2 linked regions of the Xenopus tropicalis genome follow. The protein of the gene in region 1 purifies or fractionates together with the protein of each later gene. This does not show direct contact. Links are inferred from orthologs where the notes say so. Each region holds a gene or a part of one and is shown in the gene's direction. Other genes may lie near its edges.

Evidence for each region. Proteins that work in one complex are often made in the same cells at the same time.
Region 2: the proteins of itga6 (region 1) and cd151 purify together in Homo sapiens (co-immunoprecipitation; 3 studies listed by BioGRID and IntAct, with this or other methods). This does not show direct contact. The link is inferred for Xenopus tropicalis from reciprocal best matches to the Homo sapiens genes ITGA6 and CD151.

The regions. Positions count from the first base shown.
Region 1 is NC_030685.2:67,286,244-67,289,892, reverse strand, and holds part of itga6 (integrin alpha-6), read left to right. Parts: intron 1-420; coding exon 421-552; intron 553-2,339; coding exon 2,340-2,553; intron 2,554-3,649. UniProt on the Homo sapiens protein: Integrin alpha-6/beta-1 (ITGA6:ITGB1) is a receptor for laminin on platelets. Integrin alpha-6/beta-1 (ITGA6:ITGB1) is present in oocytes and is involved in sperm-egg fusion.
Region 2 is NC_030680.2:31,275,542-31,279,815, reverse strand, and holds the start of cd151 (CD151 antigen), read left to right. Parts: upstream 1-1,342; 5' UTR 1,343-1,440; intron 1,441-4,274. UniProt on the Homo sapiens protein: Structural component of specialized membrane microdomains known as tetraspanin-enriched microdomains (TERMs), which act as platforms for receptor clustering and signaling.

The DNA.
Region 1 (3,649 bases):
TAATGTACTGTTGCCTTGTGCTGGTGCAACTGGTGTGTTTGCCTCAGAAACACTACTATAGTTTATATAAACAAAGCTGCTGTGTAGCCACGGGGGCAGCCATTCAAAGGAGGAATGCCACAGGTTAATTAGCGGATAACAGATAATACCTGTGCCTTTTCTCCTTTTTTCCAGCTTGAATGGCTGCCCCCATGGCTACACAGCAGGGTATTTATATAAACTATGGTTGCGATTCTTTAGCAAACATACTAGTTTCACCAGTGCAGGGCAACAGTAAATAATATTTTTATTACTTTAAAACAATTTCATTTTTTGGTGTTACTGTTCCTTTAAAGGTATTTTAAAGGTGAACTACTCCTTTTCACTCATTTCCAGTGTCTTTCTTTATTTTTATTTATAATTTTTCATTTCATCCTTTAGGAGTGGTCCGGGCAGAACAAAAAAATAACACTTTAGAAGACTTGTTTATTTTTGAAGATGGACCTTATGAAACTGGTGGTGAAAACAAACGAGATTCAGATTTAGTTCCTGCACCAGATAACAGTTACTTAGGTAATAATAGTCTGAGGCTACAAAGCCCTTTTGGAACAAACTGCAAGACTGTAGTTTAATCAGCAGCCTTCCATTTCTTATTGAGCTACAAATCCCAGCACCCTGTAAGAGTAGGGATACTGTGAGTTGGAATTCAGAAGCAGGAGGAACACATTTACATTTCTAGCATTGGACAGTTGTACTTTGTATCACTGGGTTGCTCTAATAATGTCATCAAGGACTGGCTTGTGTCTGTGTTTCCGTAACCTTGCTGTCTCTCTATCTGCTTTCTCTTTCTTCTGGGACTTCATACGTACGTATAGGCCTTCTGTTCATGACAACCATGTCCAATACTGATCCAGACCAGTTTTTGTACAAATCTGGGCCCCCCAGAGCCAGGTCGGAGAAAACCGTTGATGTGATGACTAATAGCTACCTAGGTTGGTGGTAACTGGCTGCAGAAACTCTTTCCATTGATACGTCACCTGTGGCATCACTGGCAAACCATTCTGGCCACTCACACTTCCTGCGTGCTCATCCCATGATGCATTTCTACATACATGTAATAGCGTAAATAGAATTGAAATACCATACCCAGCATCACCCCTGTCAGTTTCATCTCCACAATATCAGGAGGGAGATATTCCTGCTTTTCGTATTTAGTGTACATGTGTTTCATGGTCACTTAGACAACAAATACTAAAATCCTATTGGAGAATACTGTATATTAAATCTCTCAAAACTAAGCCATGTTATATCTGTTTGCATAGGTTAACTGAAAATAATTCAAGCATATACACATCTGTTAATATTCTCCTACTTAATTCACCCCATATTTAGTTGTACCTTGAAACACATAGGCAAAATTAAGTTTATACATGGCATAAATATATTTGCTCCATTCCTTTACATTTTTGCAGCCTCCATCTTGGTGTTGCTCCAGACATGGGACACCTGTGGCTCCAGATGTCCTTCAGCAAATCTGGGGGGCTTTAGGTGACTTATCCCTGGTATAGCAGCATGGTATCATCAAAATGCATGCACTGAGTTATTTCTTATAAATGATGTTATTGAGAGACACGTGTCTACAACAGAGTGGCTCCTTTCTGGTAATGAAGACACCATGTTCATTTATTGCATGTTAATTGTATTTACTTAAAGGGATTATTATCAGCATCATTACCCTAATTTTTAACCCAGTTCTGTAGATACTCCCAAAATAGGAAGAATATTTTTACTTTAGTAAATAGTTTTCTAAAACAGGTCATTGAATAAAATTAATTGACTTTAGCCATATCAGTTGTGCAAAGCTAGCTGTTCAGGTTCTCTTTCTGCCAGTCTTTGACATCACCAAAGCGGTGTTGCAGAGACATGATAAAAAGGGCTACTTTCTCCATTAAAGCTTGGAGCAATCTATAGATTCTGGCAAATGCCAGAGTAGCTGCCATAAGATGCCACAGACAACCAATATTTATTGATCCTGGTGGGGCCTGTTTGGACCTCTCTTTACTTGAAATGCCAGGTACTATTTTGAATCTCATTCTGGATCAGTCTCCATCTGGTCCACTTCCACCCCCCCAGCAATGACACCAACAAGAATATGAGATCAAGGGATGCTTAAGACTACTGGGCTGATTTCTGAGTGAGACTGCAGAGACTGGTTTAACAAGTTTACAGTGCTGGTGATATTAATTTTAATTATAGGAGTAAAACGTAGTATTGTAAATAATGATCCCTTTAAGCTGCAGACCATCATAAAGCGAAGTGAGATTTATCTTATTCCAGTCTTCTCTGGCTTTAATTTGTAGGATTTTCTTTGGATACCGGGCGAGGGATAACGTCCAAGGAAGAAATGACTTTTGTTTCTGGAGCCCCGCGAGCCAATCACAGTGGGGCTGTAGTCCTGCTGCAAAAGTTTCCACCCAATGAGAGGATGTTGTCTGCTGTACATACATTTCAAGGAGAAGGGCTGGCGTCTTCCTTTGGTTATGATGTAGCGGTGGTCGATCTTAATAGAGATGGGTAAGGCTGCTTGTGTATAAGCCATGAAAGCTCAATGGTAGTTCTGTCAGTACCTATGCCAGAGACTTGTGATTTCAAGCAAGACTTGTTATGTGCCTGGGCAGTGTTTCTCCAATTTCCTGTTGGCCGCGTGTGCTCAAATGGTTACTTTTTATTCAATTGTGTGAGCACAAAAACAGCAAAGTGTGGCTTACTGATATTATCACTTATTGGTCATGTGTTACCAACATGAGCTGTCAGGCAAGTGATTCATGTTCTTCTGTGCCACCGCCTTTCAGTTGTCATTATCCCCGCACTCTGTTAATGGTGTTAAGAAAAAGAAACACAGATAAGAATTTGTCAGGAAACACAAAGTGAATTGCACAAATTCTTTTCTCTGACACTGTTCCACAGATCTGCTTTTATTTTAATCTCCAGGTCAGGCTCATATCCTTCCTGTGCATACGGCTGTTAGGGCTATGGATGTGCGCCTGAGAGGCACAGACCCTGAAACACGTAGAGGCCAGTTTATGAAGGATATAGCTATATTATTTATTAAAATCCAGTTAGATTTTTCCCTTTCTCTCTTAAATTCTAGGTTACAGTGTGCAAAAGAGCTGTTTCCCAATTGTGCAAATTTGTTTTTCAAATTGTCTTTCCCGCTATTAACTTTTTCATTTTTGGTTAGTGTTGATACAGTTGGGTGTATCATTGAAGCAAAAAAATGTATTCTCAATTGACAAACCCCTCTGCTTTGATAATGCATTGATTGTTGCAGTCTTTCTCCTGACTGTGAAGAAGGTGTTTAGAAGATCCAGTGGATTCTTAATGTTAAAATGAGAAAAGTCATTTCAACCAGTAATCTCAAGCTCTTGCAGAAAAACCCTGTTACCTGACAATGAGATACACTGTGACTGGTTTACTAAGGAAGCTTGGTGCTATTGTCTATTCATTTGCACCCATGCACAGCCATCAGTGGGGTGTTTTTAGTGTTGCCACTGGGAAAGATACCAGTCCTCCACTCGCTTTTATTTACCAAAACTGGCATGAAGTCATACAGGTACCTGTATAACTAGTACAGTCATACTAGTCATACTAGTCATTCAGATAAACCTGG
Region 2 (4,274 bases), on another chromosome or scaffold:
AAGTACCCTGGCCCAGTGAATTACTTTTATTGAAAAGCCGTTTGGAACAATGAACCTATTAGTGTAGCAGCAGAGTTCTTTCTGTGCATATCAGCATGCCCCTTGTGCTTATGTATCTGCCCATGTACCCTCTGACTCTCCTCCCAATGATTGGTACTAATAGCAACCACATTCCCCATGCAACTGTGCCATCACAGAACTTAAAGTGTAAGAATTGGTAGATATGTTTAGTATTTACATATGCAGCCTGCAGCCCTCCAGCCCAGGGTCCCCTGTGACACCTTAAAATGACAGTGCTGCACATTTTATGATTTGTGGCTGAAAAGGTAAATTGATAGACAGGGCAAGAACAGGAACCTGACTGCAGGATGGCTGGGGCAAAAATGGCAAAAGTTAAATGCCCTCCAGCTGTTAAACTACAACAATGATTGAATTGCTAGCCTGAGGATGTTTTGTAAAGGTGGCCATACACGGGCCAATTTGGAAGCTTATCTGCCTGTGTATGGGCACCACTGACGGGCCTCCCCTACCAATATCTGGCCTGAAATTGGTCAGATCTTGATCAGGCAGGTTTAATTTTCCATTAGATCAGGGACTGCATCAGCTTGTTGATGTGGTCCCTGATCCAACAGCGCCTTTGCCCACTGTATAGCCTGGTATCCCCCACCCGTTGGTGGGCATATTGGTAGAAGATCTGCTGGCTTGGTGACCTCCCCAAACAAGTGGATCTTACAGTGTATAGTAACAATAAATCAGGGGCTTTGACCTTCTGAATAATCCTTGGTCCTTAATTCATGATGCTGTAAAGATGATAAATGGCGGGTAACATGGCAATCCAATTTAAGGAACTCTGTAAACCTTAGGAATTTACCATGAAAGTGCTGTTCCCCTCTGAGCCCCTGTACCTACTAGCCTCCTATTATTTTCAGGGTCTGCTTCCCCTACAATAAAGGGTAATAAGCAGCCATGAACAGATAAGTCTAAGCAACTTTCCAAAATGCATTCACTAAACTTTTTTCAAATGATCTGGTTCTGACTCCTGAGACAATGTATCTGAGGTCAGTTCCCCCTTCATTCCGGTCTGTTAAATCAACAACATTGTTTCAGGAGTAAGAACCAGATCTAATCAGATACTGATTTCAATAGCAATTACAATTACACAAAGCTAGAACCAATGGACATTTATGTCGCATTCTCTAAATATGCCCATAGGTGGCGCCTGTTCCTTTAGTGTTTACTTCCCGCATGGCCCAGGCAGGGTTAATAATGAGAGGGCTGGCCCTGGCGAGGTGCGGCTTTGTCATCGCTTTCTCCTTTGCTTGGCTCTGGTGTCAGTCTGTCCCGACACCCTGTCTGGTACATTAAAAGCACTGCTGCCGAACCCGGTCTGGATCTGTTGCCCTGAGAAGATTCCATAGTGTTACTGAGTCGCAACCGCAGGTAAGAGACGGAAAACTGGGAGTGTGATGTAGCGTGATCCCTTGTTCCTTGATCTGCACCAACCAGGAACTGTCCCTGGATCGGACCAGAACTGAACTATACATGTATATTGGGTCCGGGGCTTGCTGCTCCATCTACACTGTGTGTAAACAACTCTGGGCTGGAGGCAGATGCATAGGAAAAGGGGCAACTGCACCGGGGCGGGGGCAAACACACTACAAAGTGATTATGGAGGTGTAATCAGAGCTAAGTGCTTGTTCCTTATCCCACGGCAGGAATATTGCGATTTACTGCAGGGTCTGTAGAAGGAGGAGGTGGAAATACAAAGGCAGTTGTGCAGCGCAACATGTGCATAGGTGGGAACTGGGCTGAGCTTATTCAGCGCTGTACAAAGTGCACAAAGGTCTATCAGTCTGTGTTACTGTTATTATTAGCCTCAAGCAGTGGTGTAACTGTCTGCTAGCAGACCCAGTGGCTGCAGGACCCACATACCCCTTGGATCCGCCCTCCGGCATGTGCTTGCCCCTAGTGTTCCTATGTGCAGGGATTTGGGTTGAATTTAACAGGGTGTAGAGGGCCCCCCAAATGTTTTTCTGCAGGGAGGCTGGAGATAGTCATGTTACATCACTGGCCTCAACACTGAGTTTATTATACATGTATTACAGGTATGGGACCTGTTATCCAGAATTCTTGACACCTGGGTTTTTCTGGATAAAGGGTCTTTCTGTTATTTGGATGTCAATACTTTAACTCTGTTAAAAAACATCTAAACCTTAAATAAATGCAAGGAGATTAGTTAATTATAAATGTGTTGGGACCAAGTGCAAGGTACCGTTTTATTACAGAAAGAAAGGAAATCAACTTTAAAATCAAATTATCTTATTAAAATGAAGTCAGTGGGTGATGGCCTTCACGTAATTCCGAGTTTTCCCAGATCTCAGACCTGTAACAATTTACACCTGAGACTGTTGCAGGGCCCCAGTCACAACAGACTTGATAGGGCCCCATTATTTATAAAGGGGGACTCTCCAACCTGTGGCCTTTCAGTTATTGAGTTGGCATGCAGCTAAAGGGCAATACTGTGGGCACTATGTCTCCATCTTTCCCTGTATAGCTGATATCCTTCATTCTTGTTGCTACACCTGTTGCCCTGATGGGCCCCTCTTGGTGGGCAGCAGCCTGAAATGAGTGCTGTAAGTGTCTTTTGTTTAAGGACAGATTGGCTCCTGAAAGTTTCTCAGGATACGGGGGAGTTGTAGTGCTGGAGGGCCGCAGATTGGCCAGTTCTGGTTTATTGTTCCTGTCTATACTGTGGAAGGCATGTGAGGAATGTCATGTTGGGTGACTGTCACCAGGCTGCCCTTGGGGCGCACCTTTTTTGCAGAACAGGGCGGAAATCCATCCCCTCAGGTTACTAGAAATCTGACACCTGGAGGGAAGGGCCCGGCCCATGTATCCATCTGTGTGTACAGTCTCTGGGCTTCCCACAGAAACACTGTTGTAAATGGGCCATCGTCCTCTGCCTAATAGGATTCTACAGTTTAATCAGGCGCAGCTCAAATATTTGCTGCTGTCACCTCACACCCCCCCTGGCACCCTGACTGCACTGGAGAGCAAACAGCAATAAAAGGAGCTTTGCCTGCACAAACCCTTATTTAGTGATCAGCGAGGGATAAAACTCATTTAGTATTTTGTCTGGTATTTAAAGGGGAACTTCACCTTTAAATGACCCTTTCCTTTGTTATAGTTAGACTGCTTAAAGCAATGTTCCACTTCATTATTTACCTGGTACGGCTTTGAATTATTAGCTTTTCTCTTATTTCTCTGTCCAGCTGGTAACTAGATATGCCACTTGGTTGTCAGGGTCACTGACCCCAGGGACTAAAAACAAGACTGCAAGGCTTTTACTGCAGTTTCTTATTGCTCCTTTTCCCATTCAGACATAAAAAGCTGCTGCTTATAGAATTTTATACAGGTATAGAACCTGTTATATGTTAAAGAAACCCAATAGGATAGTTTTGCCACCAATAAGGATTGATTATATCCTAATTGGGATTAAGTGCAGGGACTGTTTTACTACTACAGAGAAAAAGTCAGTTTTAAAAAATTGAATTATTTGCTTATAATGGAGTCTATGAGAGATAGCCTTCCCGTAATTTGGAACTTTCTGAAAAGCAGTTTTTGGGATAACCGATCCCATACCTGTACTAGTTTCCATGCCAGAAACGTGCCACCTTAAATTGACCTATTGACTTTGATGTATTTTGCCAGGTCTGGTGTGGTGAGAAATAATTGTTTAGGAGTAAGGGTTCCCACCTGGCTGGTTTTTCACTAGCCTAGCCAGTATTACGGTGTTACAAATTTACTTGCTTTACAGTATTTTCTGGTTAATTTGTAAGCATCTGTCCTTCCTGGCCCGTGACCTGATCACCACTTACAGCTGAGCCTCTTTTCCAATGCCCTGTTATCTTCCCTCCCTTCTAATCAAATATCAACACACTCAGTCCCATTCCACCCCTTTTATGTTACCACCCCTCCCCTTTTATATCAATGATCTGCCACATCATGGTCCTGCCCCCCATCGGTGCAGCCAGAGTTTTTCTCTCAGAAAGGCACCAACCTTATCTGAATGTACAGGCTTTCCAGTACTACAATTCTAATCAGTTTAGCTTGTAGGTTTCCCTTCTATTTGCACAGTTTGGCTGGAGGCAGGACAATTTGATTAATGTGATTTGGACAAATACTGCTGCATCATAATGTAACCAATAGAGAGGCCTGCATGGGTCTAATAGGGTGTAGCTGCAACCTGAGTTATGACCTGCTCAGACCCACTA